Linked DNA regions of Drosophila melanogaster. The protein of the gene in region 3 interacts with the protein of the main gene of each other region in a pairwise test. Each region holds a gene or a part of one and is shown on either strand. Other genes may lie near its edges. The genes, in order: heca, CG13032, CG43861 and CG45105.

Region 1 (5,727 bases), on a different chromosome or scaffold from region 3:
TTACCCTCTCCACCGACGATCCTTTAGCTAGAACAACAAACAACCTATACATACATAATTACATACATGCATACCTAAATATACTCGTACGTACGATCCTATTACGCAATGGCTGCCGATCTGCCTACCTGACTGACTTAATTATTATATCAGAACCCTCTGGTTCTCTCCCTCCTGCTCGCTCTTCTTCTACCCGGCAGGTCAAAATCGAGAGAAAAAAATGGAAACTGCGCAGTTTGACTCGAAAATAAGTGGAATTGGACCTTGACTTTGCACCGCAGTTACCAAAAGAATAGAACCCCGGATCCTGAGATCCTGAGTCCTATAAGAAAACCCCATCTGGTTGCGAGATCCCTTCCCTTTACCACTTTTCGTTCTACACGTGCCTGTTTTTTGCCATTTCTACCGCTTCTTCTTATTCGTTTTCGCATACTTTTTTTTTTTGCAACACAGCGGGAATTTTTATATGTGTGTATGTACATATATACACAAAGGCGAGGATACAATAAAAAGGCTCTACGTTTGAAAGCTTATTTGGGTTTTGGTGGCAACTTTAATACCCTACAGTCAAAACACAAATAAGTAGTCATAATACAAAAGTTACCTGCGATATTCGTAATCTTAGGACTAATATCAACAATTTAACTATTACAATTATTCATACATATGTACATACTTGTTTCAATTGAAAGCAGTAATAGGTCTGCGTATTCAAGTTTTAATTGGTTGTTTTAATTCAAGGTAGGGTATCTTCAACTCTTTTTCGTTCAATGTTTTAATTCTCTTCCTTTTTGTCTCTGCCACTTTTATTGCCAGCACTCGCATGCATTCATTGTATTTGTATTTTTGTGCAAATGTGCTTGCGAATATATAGGGGATTATATAGATACGTTTGTATGTAAATATATAACAGCAATCGAAGCGTGCGACAGAGAACGGCAGTTCCGACAGAGGGAGATGGAGACATCGAACGGCATTTCCACTTCCACTGGAATTAAAAGATTAGCCACGGAAAGCAAAAGTGCGCTGCAAGTTCGAGTTCCAGCGACTCGGCAACCCTGTTTTCATGTTGTTTACTTTGCCGGTTTCTGGCACAAACACATATGCACGCTCCATGCATGTGGAACAGAGCCAACGCGCTCGACGTTCGCATGGCAACTGCAGTCGAACATGTTGGAGGGGAAACGACCGGCTTCGAACTTGATTCGAACCAGCTTCGAGCCGCAACGAAAGTGAATTTTGGCGAATCATCGAGAGCTCCTAATTGTAAATGAAATGGATGTAAAATCTAAAAATTCTAATAAATAATTAAATTTAGATTATTTAATAATAATCGAATTCATTTAATTTTGGAACCAAAACATAGGGAGAAATATATATTCCTTTTTGGCTATAAAGTTAGAAACATGTTATTATTATTCTTATTAGTTTAAAGAAAATACGGCTTGATAGAAACATTTTCTATGGAAATGAAGCTTATTAACAAAAGTCTAAACTCCTACATATATTTTTAAGACATTTAATCTAATCAAGTATGTAACTGCTATCAAAAGTTCCGTTGTAAAGTGGGAAAATGTACCAAATTCTGGCCTACAGTGGAAAATTCTAGTGAATTAGACACTTTTTTTGTAGCCCCTTCCGCAATTTTCCCCCACCATTTCTCATTTTAGCGCCAAAAATCTGTTCAGTTTTCCACCGAATGAAAAGCGAGCGGTTGGCGGCGGTGGTGGAAAGTGAAAACCAGCCAACCACCACCCACCAACCCCGAAAAACGGAATGAAGAAGTGCGGAAAATCGGAGTGGAGGAAAACTCCAACTTCGCTGCCAATGCCAAGCAGCGACGCCGGCAGCGATGTTCGACGCGCGATGTTCGAACGCGGCGAGCAAGCACAGACCAAAAACAGTTTGAATTTCGCTTTCGATCTGGTTGGTTGTGTTTTTTGGCTTCTCTCTGCGTGCGCCGCTCGTGGTGGGAAAAAACGGAAAACAGGAGAACTAGCAAAACCGAATAAATCGAAGAGGAACACTCCAGTTTACAATTGTCCTGCGACTAAAAACCAATCGGAAATTTACACTATCCTCTAATCCTTTTTGTTTGCCGGCAAAAAAATAAGAGGCGCAAAGAAATAAACGCAGAAAGCGAAGCAAAATGTGAAAAATTGCCGAACATGGCGCCGCGTGTGTGAATGAGAGCGAACGATCGTGTGAGAGGGAGATAGGGACGAAGCGAAGATAAACAATAAAAAAAAAACAATTTTTGATACTTAAAGTTCTACAACAACAATAAACTCAGCTCAGGTACAACAACAAAACAGAAAATTACGCAAAACACAACAGACTGCATTGACGGGAATTTTTCGAAGTATTTTTGATACACACAGCAAGGAGGTGTACAATTTTTAAAGCAATAAGTGAAAGCAATTACCCATCAAGTTAAAAATAATACCAATCTCGGTAGAAACCCACTCGGAAAATCCAACTGAAAACAATTGAAAAAGGCAACCGAAAAGTTAAAACCTAAACAGACTAAATCGCTAAAATAACAAGCATTTACTATACACAAAAAAATTAAATTCCGTATAAAATCAGACTTTTGTCTGCAAAATTTCTAAAAATTTACAAAAACCCACTAAAATTCACGAAAACTCACTGGATCTGCCAAAACCATCAGTTGAAATATATTCTGGAATCGGTTCAAAAATAAATAAATATATGCCAGCAGCATTTATATAGACCGCAAATCGCACCATAAAATCGCGAAAAAATCAACAAGCAATATTTTGAAATTCATAATCGTTGGCAAAATGCTGATTCGAAATAGAGATTGAGGATTCTCGAGGACAGCCAACCCAGCCAACCAACCAAGTTTTTCGCCGCAACGAGTGCATATTAAGAGGAAAAAACACAAATTTATGGCTCCGCGTCGCAACAGCAACATCAGCAGCAGCGGCAACAGCACCCAGCAGCAGCACCAGCAACAGTTGCAGCAGCAGCACCAGACGCAGCAGCATCAACTGCTGCAGTTCTACGCGGAGAACGTGAATTCTTCAGGCGTCCTAATGGCGCCCATGCAGGGAACCGGTGGCGTTGGCGGCGTTGGCGGCGGGGGCATGGTCCACTGCTGCCTGCCCAGCGGAGACTGTCGCAAACTGGACACCCTGATACACCTGAACGAGCTCTCCCTGGCGGACTGCATCCGTGTGCTGTGCAACAACGAGAACTGCAGCGCAGGCCAGTACATGCATCGCGAGTGCTTCGAGTGGTGGGAGGCGAGCGTGCTGCAGGCACTGAAGGCCAACGGTCGTGCTCGATCCTGGTCGGAGCGGCAGCGTCTGCAGCACCTGTGGACCAAGAAGGGCTACGAGCTGGTCCAGAAGGCCTGCAGCTGCAAGTGCGGCAGGGGACAATTGCGCAAGGACCTCGACTGGGTGCCGCCGAGCAGCCAGGGCGTCATATACCTCAACGGGTCTGGCAACCGGCCCACTCTGGCCAATGGCAGCCTCAGCGAGGACGACGACAAGAAGAAGGCCAAGAAGAAGAGGAACCGCAACAACAACAACAACAACGGCGGCGGCGGTGGTGGTGGTGCTGGTGTCAATGGCAACACCAAAACCCCCTTGAGCAACAACAACGGCAACAGCTACGCCGGACTCACGCCCAATCCCAATGTGGGCGTCATAGGGTCGGGTTTGCCCCACAACAACGGCAACACCGCCAGCAATGGCAGCAGTGGCAACAACGGCTCCTCCGGCGTTCTGCAGACCAGTGCGCTGGCCACTTTCAGCAACATCCTCAATACGAACAATGTCCTCGGCCTGGACCTGCGCGCCAGGGCTGGCAGCCTATCCTCCAGTGGAGCTGGCAGTGGATCCACCTCGCCCTCGGACTCCCAGTCCAGTGGCGAGATATCCGTGTCGCCGGTGCAGCAATTGCTGCCACAGCAGCAGCAGCAACAGCAGCAGTCGCTGCTGATCCAGCCTCTGGGTCCAGCTTTCGGCAGCAACCTTTTGCAAAATGGATTGGGCTTGTCCAAGAATCTGCTGATTGCTCCCCAGCAGCAGCAGCAGCAGCAGCTGCAACAACAACAGCAGCAGCAGAATAACCTGCCTGCTTTGGCCAATATCAGCAACTTCAAGCCATTGGCCAGCTACGAGCAGCAGCAACTTGTGCAGCAGCAGAAGAACAAGGAGGTCGAACTCTATTCCGATCGAGTGCGGTAAGTACAAGATATCATCATGATAACCATATAGATTATAAGGAGCTATAGTCTTATTGTCTAGAATTTCATCTTAAATACTTGGTTAACTTGTTTAACAAAGCGAAATTTGTGTGGCGAAATTCCCCAGCATGTGGTTGGGGTACATAAGCGTTTCAATATTTATTCACAAAACTTTTATCAATTACACTGAACGACAAGGGGGGCCTTAATATTTCGAATTTATTTACTGCAGTTGTTATAAGTTTTGTTTAGCTTTTCCTTTGATAAAACTTCCAGTGGCTTCAGGTGTTATCAACAAACATGCCAAATAGATACCAGATTGATACTCTCGTTCCTTTATCGTGTTGCACAGTGTTATCAACAATTGAGGCGTTTGTTTGCCCGTTTTTCGTTCGTTTGCCGGTTCCATAGATTATATAACCTTGACGACTGAACAGCTGCGAAATACAGACAATATTTGCAGAAATATTAAATAAAATGCGCTGGTTTATTCGAGAAATTTGCGAATATTTTCCCCTTAAGGAAGTCGACGATTTGCATCAACTCAGAGGGAATGAATAAAATATTATAATCTTTTGTTTTGTTGCTTTCGGTGGGTCAAGGCTTTCTTTCTTTTATTCTGCTGTAGTTCTTCACTCTTCATTGGCATTCTTTTTACTCATAAATCATAGGCAATGAAAAATTATTGAAATTTATATGCTGCCATATAGCAGCGGACATTTATCGTATGGTATGTTTCCCAGATGTGTTCTTGTTCTTATTTATTTTGTGCCTACTTTTAATATTTCCGTTTCCCAGAGCAGCGAATACTATTATTTATTTCATTGCGATCAAAAAAAAAAAAAAATGCGAATAGGAGAACAACACGAAGAGGAATTAGATCGCTTTTTGTGTTTTTTTTTTTTTTAATGTTGTTGTTTTGAACGCGATCTTCAGGTTTTAAGAATCCCAACCCCTCACCCTCTGTCCATCTCTTTCGCGCGGCAGCTTGCCCTCTCTTTCCAAGCTGAGAACTTTGTTTTGCCTTCTATGGCATAATTCCATTCATTCTTCTGGATTTCGCTCTCTATCTCACTCTCTGTTTTGCACACTTTTCAAGGCCACACTTTTTTTTTTGCATGTCTCTTTTTTTTAACCTAAAATGCGGAATTGCTGTTTTAGCGATAAACAGTAAAATCTGCTTTTTTATAAAAGCTTTTAAGTAAAAGCTATATTTAGTTCGGCCGATCCTTTTCTATTTAAACTATATTAGGGTATCCAAGTTTCGGTGTTCTCTCAATTTCAAATGCAATTTCTTGCCTCTTGCATTCTTTTTTGGTTCCTGCTTATCAGCATTTTTGTGATGATTTGCGTTTAATTCAAAAATAAACGTCCATAAAATTGTTTATCGCCTCTCGTTTTTTTGTATTTCCATTTCTCATTTCTTGTTTTGTTTGCATTTACTGGCGTTTATTTTTAGCGCCACACGCGGCCCATTTTTATTTTATTTAATTTTTGTTGTTGCTGCC
Region 2 (5,511 bases), on a different chromosome or scaffold from region 3:
TTATTTTGAACATTCTCGGAGTACAATGAATGGGGCGATATGGGGAAAAGTAATCGAAATTCGGTAACATGTACAAAAGGTAAAAAGAAATTTACGCCGACACAACTACTTTAAATTGTAATAAGTAATATTATCTGGAAGCATTCATTAAAATAGGTACAATTTTACAACATTTAAACACTTTTGTTGAAACTGAAAATAGATCGTAATTAAACAAAAATGCGAATAACAAATAAATCTAGGCAAATGTGTAAAGCTTGTAAACTTATATTAACTCAGTTACTAACTACATATAGTCTTGAAAAACAAAGAGCCTAATTATTTGTTCATAGGGCGGGTAAAACTAAATGAGAATATATTTGACTGCAGGGTATCAAATTGCGAAACGAAACCAGACAAAATTAAAGTACAAACGGCTACCATTGAGTTATAAACACTTAGAAGAGCTACCAAGTAGTTAGACTACCAAAATAGACCATTAAGGGTGTTAGTTACCTGGGCAACGGTCTGTTCGGCAATGGGAATGTCATCGTTGCGCAGATCAACGCGTTTCACCACCGACGAGGGATCCGCATCCAGAATAATGCTATTTGGAAAACGGGTAAAGGTTTAAATAGAATATTTGTATTTAATAATATGTAATGCATAATATACAGTGATGAATGGCAAAGTATATCTTTTTGTACCTCAGGTGATTTCTAAAGCTCAGCCTATAAACTTAAAAACTTATACGAGCTGCATGCCTAGGATGCCAGTGCTCGTATGTATTAGTTTAATCTTTAAGTTTAATATATTTTAATATTTAGTTTGATTTATATAATTAAACTTTTGTACCTATACCCTAACATCGCAGTTATCATATAACTTTTCATTGGACTTGACTAGGTTTTGTTAAAAAAAAGGAAGCTTTAAATGCGGTTAACTACTTAGAGGCTTCACTTGAGCTGGCCTAACTCATAGACTAGTAAATAACAATGTTATTTATGGGAACTTGTGTAGTAATAATTTGATGTTTTCTAAACGAACTGCTGCTAATGAAAGCTGCTTTAACTTGGTCCCTTGTTCTTTCCATCCATCACTGTATACGCTAATACACACCCTCCGTCGCAGATCTCGTCAAATGCCAGCATGATGATCTCCAGGTTTTCCAGCACCAGGCGCTTCTCAACGTTCTTCTTGAGGATCAGGCTAATGGAATCGTAGAGGCAGTTGAGCACGGACAGCAGGATGAGCTCGTTCTCGTAGGCGTTGCCCATCACGTAGAAGAAGAGGTCCACGTTGCTCTTGTACACGCAGGTGAGTCCGTCCAGCATAATGATCTCCGTGTTGGAGCGGTGCGTCTTATTGAACAGATTCTTTTCGAAGGCCTTCTGCTCCTTCAACGTGGACAGGATGTTCTTGTCGTAGTACTTGGCCAGGATGCGGTTGCCATCGTTGTCCATGATGCACATGCCCTTGATGATATCCTGCAGCACATGTTGGGTTTGATTTTAAGCCAGTTACTTGTGTATTTTGCAATTTACCATCATAAATCCGTCCATCTTCACTTGTTTTCGTGTCTTACACGTCACTTTAGTATGACCATATTGCGACCGCTAAATTATACCAACTAAACAGTACTGCCAACTCGAGTCACAAAATAAATAGCTAGATACAGTTAAAACTATCTAGAAAAACTGTTAAAATTTTTGAATTTTAGCTAAGCCGTTATCGTTGTTTTATTATTATATTTTAAATTATAATTTGAAACACATGGGGGGCTGGCTTGCTTGACGTTGGCCGTACTTTGCTGGGGTATTTAAAATAAAATAATGTAAATGTAAAAAAAGAATAACGGTTTAAATGTAAATTATCCTGTCTTAAATAAAACAACAGTTTGGAAAGATCAAGAAAAGAATTGTCAATGTCAATTTTATTATTGCAGAAACTCTGTTTATTTTTAACTTACCTATTATTGAAGAAATCCTGATTATGACAAGAGTTCCAAATTTAAAAATTGCCTTGCCTTTGATTTGTCTGTTTCAAATGAGGTTTAAATTTGAATAACCTAGAAACAACTGATGACAACCAAAATTTGTGAATATTTTAGTAACAAGAACAGGCACACGTACAAATTATTTTCGCCCAGCCAACGAAATTGTTAGATTCAATTGTGTATATTTTTATGTGAACAACTAGAGGGCATTGCGATGGAGACTTTGCCGGAAGAGTATGTAGCCCATCGGGATCAGGAGCTGTTGGGGTGCAAAGTGGGCCGTTCCTCTCGACGTCGGCATGACCATGATGCCATGGCCGCTGCCCATGTGGTGCTGACCACCGCTGTGGTAAAACCAAAGCCAACAAAGCCGGAGTCCAAAAAGCTGCGCAAAAAGCTATCCGAATGCGAGCAGGAGAAGCAGTCACTGGCCCAGGCCATTCATGAGAAGAATCAGGAGATATCCGACCTGAAGAAATCGGTTGATTCGCTCAACGAGGTGCTCAACTCCGTGCCCATTGATGAGCTGCGCTGCAACTCCTCCATTGCCAGCACCAAAATCCTGGAACTGAGCAAGAAGAACCGCCAGATGCGTTCCGAATTGGAGCAGGCAAAGAGTCGGCTGGGTAAAAAGGATGCTCAGATCGAGAAGCTGGAGAAGGAGCTGCGTGCGCACGAGGAGAAGCTGCAGCATAATCAGGATCTGCCAAAAAAGGGCTGCTCCCCCGATGAGCTCCAAGCCAAGATCAACAGTATGCAGCAGAAGCTCTTCGAAACGCGAAACAGGAACACCGAGCTACAAAGCCAACTGAAACTGGCCCAAAAGTGCCTGCAGCACGAGATCGGTGAGAGCTGCAACATCAACATCCTGGCCAACAATCTTAATCAGGCCAATTGGCGCGGTCGTGCTCAGCAGATCATCGCGCTCAACCAGAAAGTGCACGAGCTCAAGGCTCGCTTGGATTTCTACGAGGACCGAGCCGTAGATCGAGCCGAATATGCTGCCCCAGTGCCGTTGGGTTCGGATCTGGAGTTGGTAACCGGCAGCTGTCGATCACATCATGCCAGCTCTGAGAGATTAGGTGGAGGCGATGGCGGCGGAGCCACAACGGCCAGCTTCGATCGCTTTACACCGGGTGTGCGTAAAAGTGAGATTCTTCATCGAGCCAAGGTGGAGGCTCTGGAAAAGGAGATTCTTAGCCTGCAAAACCAACTGGAGGATCAACGCAGCAAGACACTCGCCCTAAAGGTGAGGAACAAGAATCTGAACGAGGAGATGAACAAGTACAAGATTCTATACAATGAGCTGGAGGAGCAGACCGACTTCAATGGCACCAATATCAATACCATGAATGACAAACTGAACCAGCAGAGGATTCAGTACGAGAACCGTTTGGACGACATGCGCGGCGAGCTGGTCCGGGTGACCGAGGAGCGAGATCTTTCGCGCCGGCAAATGGAAGAGCTGAGCGGTATGCATCTGGAGCTGCAGACGGTGGTCAAGCAGAAGGATGTGGCCATGGCCAGTCTGCAGGATATGATCAAGAAGCTGGAAATGGACCTGCGCGCCCTATCCGGCGGATTCCTCTTCTCCTGCCGCGAGTTTCGAAAGGTAAAACTCTGTACACTAAAACATAAGCTATTAATTTGCTTAATTATATTCCGCAGGAGGAATTTGTGGGCATCCTGGATGCTCTAGAGGTGGAGAAAAATCAGCTTATGTTGCTCACCAAAACTCTAGGAGATCGTCTGGAGACGGAGAGAGCCAAGAACGAAGCAGCTCAGGAGCAGATTGGCAAGTTAAAGGCCCGTATCAGCCGACTGGAGGTCAAGATCAGGGACCTGGAGAAGGAACTCGATGTGCAGTCCGATAAGAAGAAACGCACCCAGCGAATGGCCGACTACGCCAGTTCGCTGAGTCGCACTTCTCTTAACGGATCGATTGGTTCCTTCTGCTTCGAAAATCAGTCCCAGTACCAGTCCACAAATACGCTGAATTCGGCAGGACAGCCTGAGCCCAGAATAGAGGATCTAAAGAATAAGTAAGTTCGGACACGGCAATCCCATCGCTTAATCAACTATAACTACTTATATTTTCAGTCTTGAACTGGCCAAGGAAAAAATCACAATGCTGACAGAGAAGCTGGAGTATATCACCGAGGAGAAGAACGCAGATGCCAAATTTTTCGAGGACACCATCAACAGTACGAAGACCATTATCCTTGAAACTGTACTTGGAGCTCGCGAAAAGGGATTGAGCGATCGTAGCAAAAATGCAGATAAAAGCACGAGCGAGACTTCCATTCAATAATGAAGATGAACAAAACCACGATTTTTATTTTGATTAGTTTTTATGTTCTTTGCAATGCTAAAAAAACTGGACGAGAAGTCATGCCATATACATATTTATATGTAACTGGAATGTTATTAAACTTGCATGGCATTGCAATGCACATCATTGATTCTGAAGTACCGAAAACAATGAGTTTTAAATTTTCATAAATTTTTATTTGATTTGTAACACGTTCACAAAACGAAGCCTTTGGCGCTGCTTCTATTTCAGGATAAGATTAGATTAATTCAAGTATTTGTTAGGTGATTTCTTTCCACTCGAAGCATTTCCAATTGCATTATGCCTATATAATTGTTATTAATTGCTGTCTATAGCTATGCATGTGTGTGTGTGTGTGTGTGTGTGAGTGTCTTGTAAGTTAAGTTAATAATACATTATATATAGCTTGACTTGCCATAGAAAAACGATCCTGCAATCACATATTAAATTAGTTTTAGTTGCCGTTTGTAAATTGCTTCATTATTTGCGTTAGAAATTCGTTCTCCATTGCTCGCGTATGGTATGAAAATGTATAAGTTACAGTATAAGTATATTTTTTTTTATTGATTCTTTAATGCATTATTATTGATAAGCCTAGTAAATTGGTTTTATCTAAAAAACACGTTTTAGCAAATTAAAGGCACTTTCAAGGATTTCTTTTGTGAAACGAAACGATATCTCCACCTTATTCTCTTTCTTCAATTTAACACTAGAAACAAACAATATATAATTATTATTCTCTTAACAAAAATATTTATATATTAAAAACATGAATTTCCCCCGCAAAAACAAGAACAATATCCTTCAAGTCCTCCTCGTTTACACAGATAAATTGACAAAATTGTAGGGATAAGGACGCGATCAGAATCCGAGTGGATTGCTGCTAATGCGAAAAGCTTTCAGAAAGCCGAAGAAAACTCGGGGGAAATTTGTGTTAGCGCTATTGCCCCGTGTAAGTATTACTTTGAGAACTTCTAATTAAATTAGAAAACCTTTGCCTTGGGATTTTGCTATCCACAACATGTTATGCTGAAGCACTTTAGCTAATCGAATTGTTTATAGATATCCGTACTTGTATATGATTGGTAAGCTATAGTGTACGATTAGTTGGTTAACGTTTTGTATATTCTTCAATAAATATCTGTATAAATTTGATTTATTAAGGGCTGTAGATAAATGCAAACTTGGCTGGGTTAGCTTGGTC
Region 3 (5,682 bases):
CTTGAATTATTGCTTTACATGCTATTTTTGAATGCATATCTTCGATTCCTCGAATATTGTTTTCCAGTGTAACATTTCATTTAGAATGACTTCCTAGATTTCCTTACTGACAATCTGACGGATAATTCGTTGACATATTTGCACATTCATAATATTTGCATTGTGTTTGATATTTAAGGACAGATATTTTAATTAGAAAGGGATCAAATTTCGAAGTCGAAGGACGCTGCACTTGAGTGACATTGATACACAATTTTCCAAAATGCTAACCAGACATGTGCACACATTTAAAGCTGCTGTCTCCTCGATCTTGACAGTGCGATTTTCTTTATTGACTGGCACAATTTCCCCAGTTCATAATCAATTATGTCCCATGGCCTCAATAAATGGAAATATTCCCAGAAGAGCTTCGACTGCCAGGTAGCGTGTCAATTAAATGGTCATAAACAAGAGTGACGCCGTTCGACAGACAAAAATTTAAATAAAAATTGGAAAATGAAAAGTCAACACGCTCGACTCAACAGCGGAAACGAAAGCGAGCCCATGTCTCACTATCGATGAGCATCGATGTCTGCGTATACGTAATTTTTCAGTTGACATTCGTTTCCTGACTTTTTCTCAACTATTTATAGCCGAAGTCTGCTTTGTTGGGTAACTTCACTTGTGGTGGCTGCCGGTCTTCTTTATTGTCACCCAGCCATTTGCAGCCATTATTTAAATGGCCCAAATGAAAGAGGAGCAGCTGCGTCTGCGAAAGCCTCCGTTTTGGGCGACGGGCTGTGGATGATATCCCATTTCGAGGAACTCCCGAAAAGGTCGGGACCATATCGTTAGACTCAACTTTAAGTCCCAGCTGCCTAAGGATACTCAAAAATGGCATCCAATTGGCTTTAGATTGGGATTATGAATATAATAGCAAACGATTTGCCTGATGGCTTATAGATGGCAAAACTTTATTCCAAACAGTGATTGCAGTCTAAAGATATTATTAACTATTTTGTAGTTGTTTGTAGAGCAACAAAAAAATTCGGATGTATTTTAATGCAATATGGCTAGCTTTTTACGAATAAAAGAAATAATTTACATGAAATTGTAAAGCAGGTTTATAAATACTAGCACGCACCAATTAATAATAAATGTTTTTTATATGTTTCCTTTGTCTCATCCAATCGTGCACAGAAAATAAATCAGGAAACTTTGGTGACGAACGCCAGTATTCGCAAACTATCCAACATATATTGCACTAAAATGCATGTTTTTCTTGTTTTATCTTATATACATTTTGACTGTATGAGGCCAAACTCAGATTAGGATTTAAAGTACACCTACCTCCTCCCTGGAGGACTTAAGATCGGATGAGTAAATGGATTTGGATTACAAACGCTTCACATCTTGTCTCTGTGTATTCTGATATCCGCTTTCATCCGGACCGAGTGTGGCCCACTTCAAGCGAGTGGCATGCAAATAGGATCGGACCCAGAACGCCCTATTCTTGGCCTGCTCTTTTGGGTCTGGGCCCAGTTCCTTATCTGCCGCGCCCATCTGGGCCTGCCACTCGACGCCGACGTTGTCTAGAGTTGGATTCCCGGAGCGGGGTGCTCGGATGCAGTAGGAATAGGAGTAGGACTGGGCGTCTGGGTAGGAATGGTGCAGGATGAAGCCGGCTGCATGTCTGCAGCGTTTGGCTTAACAAGTGATAAACTTGTCGCTTGTCCGCTCCAAGTCCTTGGACATTTTATTATTCCCGCCTCTGCAGCGAGTGCCCTGTGGAAGCCATTACCCCATTCTCCATTCTCCATTCTCCAGTCACCAGCCCCCAGTCGCCAGCCTCCATTTCGATTCCCCAAGACCCCAACTTGCAACAAGACGCTGCAAATAGTTAAGTACAAATTGCATGGCTAATTTGAGCTGTTGCATAAGGCTTAAGAGCTCTCACGCACACAGACCCCACTTCACATCGTGTTGACAAGTTGACCGTAGAATTAGACGGAGAAGGTGTGAAGTGACAGAAGATTTGGCATGAGTAATGACCGTTGCGAGCTGTGCCCATGAAGTAGGCAGGTTTATTAGCAACTGTCGGAAAATAATTTCCACAAGCACTGAAAATTTGCGGGTTGCTTCCATATAATTCAGAACAGTACCGAGAGTCAAGGAACTCAAGTCCGCCCAGAGTTAACGGCTTAAACAAGACTACAATGTGTACTACCTGGAATTGGTAAATGGCTTCACATGGCCAAATGTACACTTACAAATATAACGTAATTCTACCCTTTTATCCATGCAAACTCAAATTAGCTCACAATATAAACTTTCTATCCCAAAAACTTTTTCGCGACAAAAATTGTCAGAGAGCAGTAGAAAATGAAACAAATAAAACGGAAAACTAAGTAGCTACATTTTGGTTCATACTAACGGAAATTCTGTTTAGAATGTAATCCCGAAAAATGTGTTCACAAAGTGAAGGGAAAAGTTGGTGTGGAGTTATATAGTTATATAGATATAGTTTTGGATTAGTATAAACTTGCAGATGGTCAGAAATGTATCTGATTAAAATCAAAACACAATTTAAAGTACCTGTTAAGCAAGGTAAAGCGAAAAAGTAGCTTGAATATTTATTTTGATTTCTTATATCTACTCCAATTTTAAAACCACATATGTATCTATTAGCGTATCTATTATTTCCAGCTCCTTGAGCGCGCTAATGCGATAAGTATACACGGCAACCACTGGGCCACAATTAACGCAGTTCGAAATAGTTTCACAAATAAAGACAACTAGCACTGATTCCCACACTTAAGTTTCCGTTGTACCCATAACCCAATTCGAGACTTAAGCCCCACTAATTATGATTTATTCCACATGTGGCCAACACCCCCGACCTCAGACCCAAAAAAAAAGCCCATTGAGGCAATTGAAACTCACCAAATGCAAGTGTTTGTTTAGACTTATTTACAGCAGCATTTGTATGCAGCTCGGGAGCGACTTTAACTTCATTTTAATGGTTATATTCACCGACATCGGCCGCTCGTTCGGACTCGGATTGTTGATGTTGTTTTACCTGTTACCGTTCTACAAACGATACGAGCACACAAACACAATCACTGCACTTTGGGGAAGATTTTCCAGAAATATTTTTACAAAACTCCGCGGTACTTTGGCCAAACAATTGGGCTTAAACCAACACAAGCAAATGGGGTTTGTTGCGGCAGGCGAATTTCGACAAAATAATGCTTTACACCTTTACACAACGGACTAATTTAGCATTTGCCTAATGGGGCGCAATGAGGCTTTGTTTTCGATTGGTTTTTTCTCTTTTTTTTTTCAGTGGGCCTGGCCAAAAAATGAATTCAAAAATCGAGCGGGTCGGCAGCCGAACGCGTTGAAACTCGTTTTTAGACTGAGTGGTGAGCTTTATGTTCGCAGTTAGTTACCCGCGCGAAAGCATCGCGAGTTCGATTCGAACATGTTGCCTTGCCTCCGTTCAGTTTTTCTCCTTCCTAACCAGGTGAAAATATAATTTTTAACACAGGCGTATGAGTGATATTCAAATTCGATGTAAAATACTGAACTGTGTAAAGAAATCCTTATTTAAATATCTCATTAATAAGAAATATTTAATGGATATATTTCATTTAAAATTATTTAGCATTGTTCTTAATTCTCACGTCTTTTAGTTTCCAAGACATCCTGTTCTAAGACTCTCTGTCGAAAGATTTACACGGAACTAAATTTCCCTCTGTTATTAGTTTGCTATTTACATACCTAACAAAAACTTTCACATTTTTTAAATCGACAAAATTCATCATCACATGATATTATTAATACTTGATTTGATTTATAAATAATCAAAACATGGTCAATTCTAACCTCTATCATATTTGCATATCAGCTGTTCTAGAAGAGCTCACAACCTAACTATTCACAATTCCGAATCTGGTCACGAAAATGACCGCAGAGGCAGAAGCAAGGGTTCGAGAAGTAGGATTGTTGTTTATCTAATAAAAATAAGTTTAGCCAGAACTCAAAAGTAAAACTCTAAATCTCAATTTTAAGGGAATTGTTATTTTATACTTTAAGAAGAATTTAAGCCCAAGATTGTTGGACTCAAACACCAGCTTGTTCGAATCGAACTTCAACATGCCAGCCCAGAATCGAACATGCTGGCAGGTTGCAATCAAACTATCTATCTATCTAACATATATCTATCGGTTGATCTATCTATCTATCTATCTTTATATCTATCTGTATATCTATCTATCTGTCTATCTATCTATCTATTTATATATCTATCTATCTATATATATCTATCTATTTACCTATCTATCTATCCATCTATCTATCTATCTATCTACCTATCTATCTACCTATCTATCTATCTATCTATCTATCTTACCATCTATCTATCTATCTATCTACCTATCTATCTAACCATCTATATATCTATCTATATATCTATCTATCTATATTATATATTCATCATCCACTCGGCGAATAAAACAAACGACACTGAGCTGCAGTCACAAATGAACTTCGTTCTTCTACCGGCAAGATGCCGTAGAATATGGCCAGAAAATAAAACGGAGCGCGTCCAGTTGGACAAGCACTCACCTTGTTAAAACCGAATCCAAAACCCAGCTGCCTTTACCTGCCAGCCGTGCCGTTTTAAAGTCGCATGATTAAGCAATAAATTCACACCAGGGCAAGAAAACGCAAGGCTTCTAGTTGCAGTCGCAATACCGAAAGAAAAACTGTGCAACTAACTATTTGGCAACATTTTAGGTAAACAAGTAGAAGTGCATTTTCAGCCACAGTTTACTCAAAACTTGAGGACACTTACCAAATTATATTTCATTTGTATAGCATCGAGAAATTTTATATATAAAATTTTTACATCGATTGTATGCAGTTTTCAGGTGTATCTACTACTCCAACTTTGGCGAAGATTTCCTCAGGCTAACGGTGTTTTGTTATTTATAGTAAATGTTACCTTTTGCTCCACTGCTTTCGGCCAGGTTTTCTATTTGTATTTACAATTGATTTGCATTTGTGTAACACTGTTTCCTCCATCGAGGAGCGGAAGCCAGCATCGAAAGAGCGACGGAGAAAGGTGTAAATATTGTGATTATGGTTGAGATTGAGATGTAGGTAAATAATATGGCCATCGGTGTGGGTTCAACAGGTGCCTCAGGACAGGCGATAGTAGTAGTAATAGTAGTAGTAGTAGTTGCAAGATGCAAAAAGAAACATAATCCACTTGAGCGGAGGAGGACTTTGATGCAATCGGTGTTAGAAAAGAACTGCAAGCCAGGAAGTGGGGATAATAACAGGTATATCGTCTTGTGAGGTGACGAAACCCAATCTTGTAGCCAATGAACCCAAGTTTCTATTGAGTTTTCCTGTCTAACCTCATATTAAGTCACAATGTTAGTAGAAAAGTAAATAGATTAGAAGTATCTTCCTTATGGATAAGACTATCTTCCATTCAGCTTAAAACAGGCTTTGCACACTCGGAACGCTCCATTTGAGAACGCTGCTTTAGCCATCTGTACTCGTCGCAATATTTACATTCTAAATGACTTCATTGGCAAGTCAAACAGATTAAATCTCTATTAGTTTTTAAGTGAGCCCCGCCAACGGCGCTCGGCTGGCGTCAATGGACCCCGTCAAGCCGAAGAAGTCGAG
Region 4 (6,094 bases), on a different chromosome or scaffold from region 3:
GGTCAAGGGCTCGCTTGTTGTTGTTGGCATCACAAGATCGCAAATTGGTTCTAATTACCATGAAATTTGCGTGGCGGGTAGGCAGCAAAAGAAAGGTTTGAAGAAGTACAAGTACAGCGTGTTAATCCAGTCTCAAGCTAGGTCGAGATGTTTATTTTATTGCTTTTGCTTTGGTGTGGAACGAATGAATCTCGGAAAAGAAAATTGGTGTTCGGAATGTACTGGTGGGAAAACTTTGGTTTGGCCTCGAATTTCATATTGCGATGTGCGGTGGTTTCCGTATGTCAAAAGGCTTTCAATCAATTGCCCACATACCTTTTTGGGTGTCGTTTTGTAATAATTAACTGTGACTATATAAACTTAATCGAACTGGTATTATTTAGACTTACACTATAGTATAAAATAGATTTCTAAAAGCCAAATCGATTTGAGTTTGCAGAATTGCTAGGTGAGATACGCTTAGGTATTATTTGATCATAATTACTTGTGCTTGTAGGTCGTGTCCTCTAATTTGCCCGTTAAGGTTTTACACTCGTTGGTCAGTTTATCCATGAGTTGCTTCTGAGATGTTATCATTTCCTCAAGCTCATTTACCGTTCCCGCTACAAACAGACATTTAACGGTTTAGTTATATATGTTTTATGTACTTTGATATGGGACTTAATGCAACGCGCTACAGAACAAACTCATGGATAAACTATTGAATATTTCTCTGTAGTTGGTTTCGAGTTCGAATCTTTGGAATATAGTTGACTTTATATCATTTGACACACACGCAGAACACAATAGGAGCATCAATAGCTTAACCAGAGTTCATAGGGAGGATAGTGATAGGTGAAGAGGGTGTAGAAAGATAGAAGTAATCCAGCTAAAGTGTTAACTCGGCCCACTTACCATGCTTATCCTGCAATTCAGAGATCCTTTTGTCCAGATCCTTTTTGGTAGGTCGTATCTCGTTCTTTAACTCCCCATAAGCAAGCTGTATGTGCAATAAACATTAATTTTATAAGCAAACAACAGGCTTAAAAATTAATACAATGAATACTATGATTTACCTCCTTTTCAAGATTGGCTATCTCATCATTGAGCCGCAGTACTTCTCGTTTGGAGTGCAGGAGATCAGCATCCCCGCGATCAAGGCGCTGCCTCAGCGAATTTATTTCTGCATTAAGACGAGCTGCCTCCGTTTTGGCCTCCCTGGCAGCCCGATCCAACTGAAGGCGCAGCGAGGTGATGTCCTGCTCCAGAGATTGCTTCTCTGCATTCACCTGCGCCATGTCCGCCAGGAAGGTGGTCCTATTGGCTCTTAGTTCCATTTTCAGCTCTTCGATCTGCGAATTGCGACTGGCCACATCCCGCTTGAGATCTGTTTCGTAGCGTTTTTGACGCTCCAGATCCAACTGGAGCTTGGACACCTGCTCCCATTGGCAACTCAGATCTCCGCCCAGTTGATCCACCTGGCTGTTGTAGCGCCTTTCGGCACTGGCCCGCTCCTCGGCCAACCGCCTAGCCATCTCGTGCTGCAGCTCCCTGACCCGCTCGTGCTGGCGATCCAGTTCATCCCGGAGGTGGCGTACCTCCAGCTCGGCCTGGGAGCGCTCCATCTGCATCAAGTCGTTGATATATCGCTTGGACGAGGCGCTACCCTGGCCCTGAGCCTTTGCCTCGTCCAGAAGCCTCTGCAAGTGTCGAACACTTTCCTCCAGAGTTTGCTTATCCTGCTGCAGGCTCTCCAGCTGCTTGCGATGCAATTCACAGTTGGACCCCCCGGACAAGGTGGCCACAGTGGTTAGGGGATCCGTATGACTCAGTTTCCGCTTTAGCTCCTCGTTCTCGGTACGCAGACGCCTCAGATCGATGCTGGCCTGCATTAGTTCGGCTTCCAGCTCGCTGATTCTGGCCTCGTAAACGATATTGGGTGCACTTGCATAACGAGGACTTTGCACCTGTCCCTTGGAGGCACCTTTCCTTGGGGTCGACGGGGTCTTACGTCCACTGGCGAACATCAAGTGCTCGTCACTGTCCGAGGAAGGACTAGTAGTGACAATTGGATGCTTCGAATTTCCCGAACCGAGACCCACCAACTCAGAGCGAGCGTTCTCAGTCAACTGCTCATTTTCATTGATCACATCCTTGACTTTACCCAACAGATTGGTCAGCTCGTTGCGACAGTACTTGGATTCCTTTTCCAGCTGTTCGATGTAGTCCTCTTGCTTTTCGATAAAGCTGAAAATCTCCACAGGAGCCGGGACACTGTCCGAGGGAAGAGGAGCAGACGGAACTGAGGCGCTCGGGTAAAGCGAAGGAGTGGAAGCTAGATTCTCCTTGGAAGCCGAGAGATATCCCGAGGCATAGCTCTTCTTGGGGCGATAGGAGCTGATCCGCGACTTCTGGCTGGGCGACAAGTACTTGGAAATGTCCGAGAAGACGGGTCGCTCAATTACCTATAGAAGTATATGTAGTGTTACAGGAATTCCTTGCACTGAATTGATTGGAAAACGAACCGATAGGTTGTCAGAGAAGTTGTCCCCGGAATCCTCGTTAAGGTTGCGCAAATAGGAAGACACTCCTCCTCCCAGTTTGGGTGCCACGTACGAGTTGTCGGCCAGCATTACCTTGAGGCGACCCACTGCCTCATTATAGGCGTAGTTGGTGTAATCCATAGTCTTGCACTTCTTGGTGATGCCTCCCTTCGAAGACTTCATCGGGAAATTTCTAAAAGTTAAAAAAAAGTTGGAGGGCACATCTAGGATCACATTTTTAGACTGAATTTGACTACGGAACAAAGTTGCTCAGCAACTGAAGTGGAAAATGGAACTGTGCCCGAAACGAAAAAAACCTATCTGAAGCTGCCTTTCGGGGTGACAATTGGAGTTGGTGTTGCAGTTGTTGCCAGGACGACAGGTTGGCCAAAATAAAAATTTAACCCTGCTCCTGTGGCCGAGTGCATGCGTCATGGTTGAGCAAACACCTCCACAAGGGTTGATAAATCCTGGATACCCCATGGCAAGTGGTAATAGAGCAACATATAACTCGATGATTCAAACTATCTATCAGTGTTAACATACACTAAGGAATTTAAAAAAAGCTGGGTTGAATGTAAGTCCAAGATTTCTAACTTTTAATTTTTGTAGTTATAAAATGAAGTATTATATAATAGGAAAGAGCACACGATTTTAAAAGTAGTTCCTTAAGTGAAGTCTAATATAACTTCTAGATTACTCAACAATATATACGGCCCAGACTTAAGAGATAAGACATAAGAGAATATATCTAGACATGATTTTTTCCATTATTTTTGTTTCTTTGATTAAAATATATCGATTTCTACGTTCTTGCATTGCTTAAAATCTGTTATGGTCTAAATTTCACCTGGCTGTAATAAAATGACTTTTGTAAAACGAAGACCACAAAAAAAAAATCTTTACAATTAAAAAATAATTTTTTAAGCTTTATTCCCTAAGGTGCCCTTTGATGACTTAACCCTACAATGTTGTGCAGCTGCTTTGTTATTCGCAAGGAGAAGTTGACGTAAACTGCATCTGTCAGTTCCTAAGGAAATAACTACAACGAAAACAACTTTTGACCACATCTCAAGACATCTCGAAAGTTTTAGCTCCCACTTGCGCCCTTCTCCTCCTTCCGAAAGTATTACCTCGATCGCCTCTTAATCCGGCCACCCGCACTGCTGACGCTCGCGATGCTCTCCCTGTCCGAGTATCCGGTGGACCGCTGCTGGGTGAGATGACGCAGGTCGTCGCTCGTCAGAAGCGGCGACGATGTCAGATGGCCGATGTTGCCGGTGTGGGCTTGCGGTTGGTTCTGCGAGTGCGAGTGGCTCCGGTTGGTATTTTTCGGTTGGTACAAAGGGGCGCCGTACTTGAAGAAGTTGTCTGCTTTCATTTTACACACAAGGGCATGGGGGCATGGGGGGAACTTGGCTAAAAGTTTGTGGCACAATCCAACATGCAACTCGGCAATGGAGCAGGGGAATCACTTGTGGTATGCACTTCCTTCCGCCTTGCGGTTGCACTTTAATTGTTTCTTTGCTTCTGCAAAAGAGTGAGCGACAGGACGACGACGCGATGAAGTTGAACTGAAACGGCGGCAAACACAAGTCGGGGCTTTTATAGACTCGTTCGGCCCAATATCCCCCATCCATGGGTATATATGGTTTAGTGTGCCGTGGTAATGGGTTTGGTGCCACGTCGTGCCCTGTCAGCAAGATTCCAAAACACTCCCATTAGCATTTCCTTCGCAGCAATGCAATTGTCGCCATGGCAGCTCACCAATTCGATGGGGGCTTGTCCTGGAATCTCTCCGGTATTGGCTCGTCTTCTGTTTGATCGATACCAAAGGGGGACTCGTCAATGCACTAGAGACACGCTCATTTGTGCCAATATTTGGTCATATACATGGTCCCCACTCTGCTCCTCTTCTGGGTTGTTCAACTTTGGGCTTGTCTCTCTGTGCGAATCGAGGCCAAAAACGTTTTCATTGCATATCTTAAGGGCTCCTAACTGGGTTTATTTCTGCAGTTATATTTAGTTTTGGGTGGATTTATTTATGACCTACGTTGCTAATAGCTGGAGTAATTTAATTAGGAGTAATTAAACTTTATAAGAGAGTAAGAAGGTCAAAGTGTCAGAGTGAAATGCTAAGAGTTGAATTAAAAAGAAATTCAATGAATTCAATTGAAATGGGAAAACTAATAAAGGCCAATCGGGTTTTCCATATTAAATATGAATATTCTTCATACAGTACTCTTACCAAATTCCTTTCGAAGACTATTAAGTTTCAGTATTCAGCTGCCAGGGGCCAGCTACTGCCACATGTGGTAACCGCCTAGACCCGCCAACAATTGATTGTCGATGTTCCTATAACTTATGACCAAATCACAGACATTTAATAGCCCAAATAACTCAGACTCGGTAGCCGTCGATGCAACAGCTCCCAGGAACCCAGCGACCCCACGGCCCCCTCCACAAGCCCCGCAAAGCACCCCGGAGCACCCAAAGCCTGATCAGGAGATCCGAGTCGAACCCATCCCAAGTGCAGCCACACAATCAATCAATGCAATCTCTGTTATCATGAATAATTTCCTAGCGGGCAAATGCACAGCAGCAAGCGCATCAGCAGAAATTGCAGCGGCAGAGCCAGAAAACCCTTTTGGCCAAAAAAAGGGGCAAAACAAACCATTTTCCTGCACACTTTGAGCCCTTTTCCATATATTATCAGCTTCTTGCGATTTAATTACCCAGGCCATGGAAAACAACAGCAATAACAGCAACAATAGAGCAGCAGCAACAGCTACAACAGCAGCAAACAGTGAAATTAACCCTCTGAGATAAACGCATAATTCCGTGTGCAAAAATCTGCAAGACAATTCATAAACATAACCTACACGAAAAGCACGTCTCTGAAGTGGCCGTATGTGTGCGAGCCTTATCGATCGTGGTCAAGAGCAGCGGCAAGAGACCCGGGTCCAAACCATGTCCAGTCCCAATCCAAGTTGGAAGCCCTCGGGGCGCTCTCAGCAATTTTCATTGCTCCAGCCTTAGCTCCGGCAACAGCAACTTCGACAGCTACACAGGAAAAATTAATTGTTTGGCTTCATAAATTCATTGTCATAAGTCTTAACATCTCATTTTATTGAGTAATCAATTTGATGGCCACATGAGCATTAGGAAATACTGCAGCTTGAATCCTAATTCAGTGTATTCTCGTAAGACACAATATTTTTGCCTGTGCAAAGTTGCAGCTCGAACTCTCTGCTGTGATCGTTGTCGCGATCTGTTGGCCCGGTCGTCCTCCGACTTGCTCTGATTCTGCGCCCAACAACAATGTGGTGCGGACCGCTTGCATTCGCTGCTGGCATCGCAGTCGCCGCTTACGTCGCTGCGGCCTTAGCTATTTACAACACTGCATTCCTGCGCCGCAGTCATTCAAGAAGAAGTTAAGAGCTGGGCTGGCTAAAACGCAGCAAGCCGAGAGCGGACCAAAACTGAGCTGCCGCAGCCAAAGTCGAGCGCTGAACTTGTTTCATGCTACTTGGGCTTAGTGTGTGCCCGATCCCCTATGCCGAGCCCCGCAC

The links.
Region 1: the proteins of CG43861 (region 3) and heca interact in a two-hybrid assay, tested with the Drosophila melanogaster proteins (one large-scale study listed by BioGRID).
Region 2: the proteins of CG43861 (region 3) and CG13032 interact in a two-hybrid assay, tested with the Drosophila melanogaster proteins (one large-scale study listed by BioGRID).
Region 4: the proteins of CG43861 (region 3) and CG45105 interact in a two-hybrid assay, tested with the Drosophila melanogaster proteins (one large-scale study listed by BioGRID).

Annotation. Positions count from the first base shown.
Region 1 is NT_033777.3:30,276,032-30,281,758, forward strand, and holds the start of heca (headcase), read left to right. Parts: upstream 1-1,900; 5' UTR 1,901-2,912; coding exon 2,913-4,216; intron 4,217-5,727. UniProt on the Drosophila melanogaster protein: Required for imaginal cell differentiation, may be involved in hormonal responsiveness during metamorphosis. Involved in an inhibitory signaling mechanism to determine the number of cells that will form unicellular sprouts in the trachea.
Region 2 is NT_037436.4:16,671,959-16,677,469, forward strand, and holds CG13032 (uncharacterized protein), read left to right. Parts: upstream 1-2,005; 5' UTR 2,006-2,189; coding exon 2,190-3,587; intron 3,588-3,643; coding exon 3,644-4,017; intron 4,018-4,075; coding exon 4,076-4,286; 3' UTR 4,287-4,306; downstream 4,307-5,511. Other genes in the region: zetaCOP (coat protein (coatomer) zeta), read right to left, coding at 496-586, 1,099-1,466, 1,524-1,541.
Region 3 is NT_033779.5:20,013,898-20,019,579, forward strand, and holds the start of CG43861 (uncharacterized protein), read right to left. Parts: upstream 3,386-5,682; 5' UTR 2,923-3,385; intron 1-2,922.
Region 4 is NT_033777.3:15,913,902-15,919,995, forward strand, and holds the start of CG45105 (uncharacterized protein), read right to left. Parts: upstream 4,107-6,094; 5' UTR 3,904-4,106; coding exon 3,656-3,903; intron 2,822-3,655; exon of another isoform or gene 2,716-2,821; coding exon 2,505-2,715; intron 2,445-2,504; coding exon 1,056-2,444; intron 980-1,055; coding exon 895-979; intron 603-894; coding exon 485-602; intron 51-484; coding exon of another isoform or gene 1-50.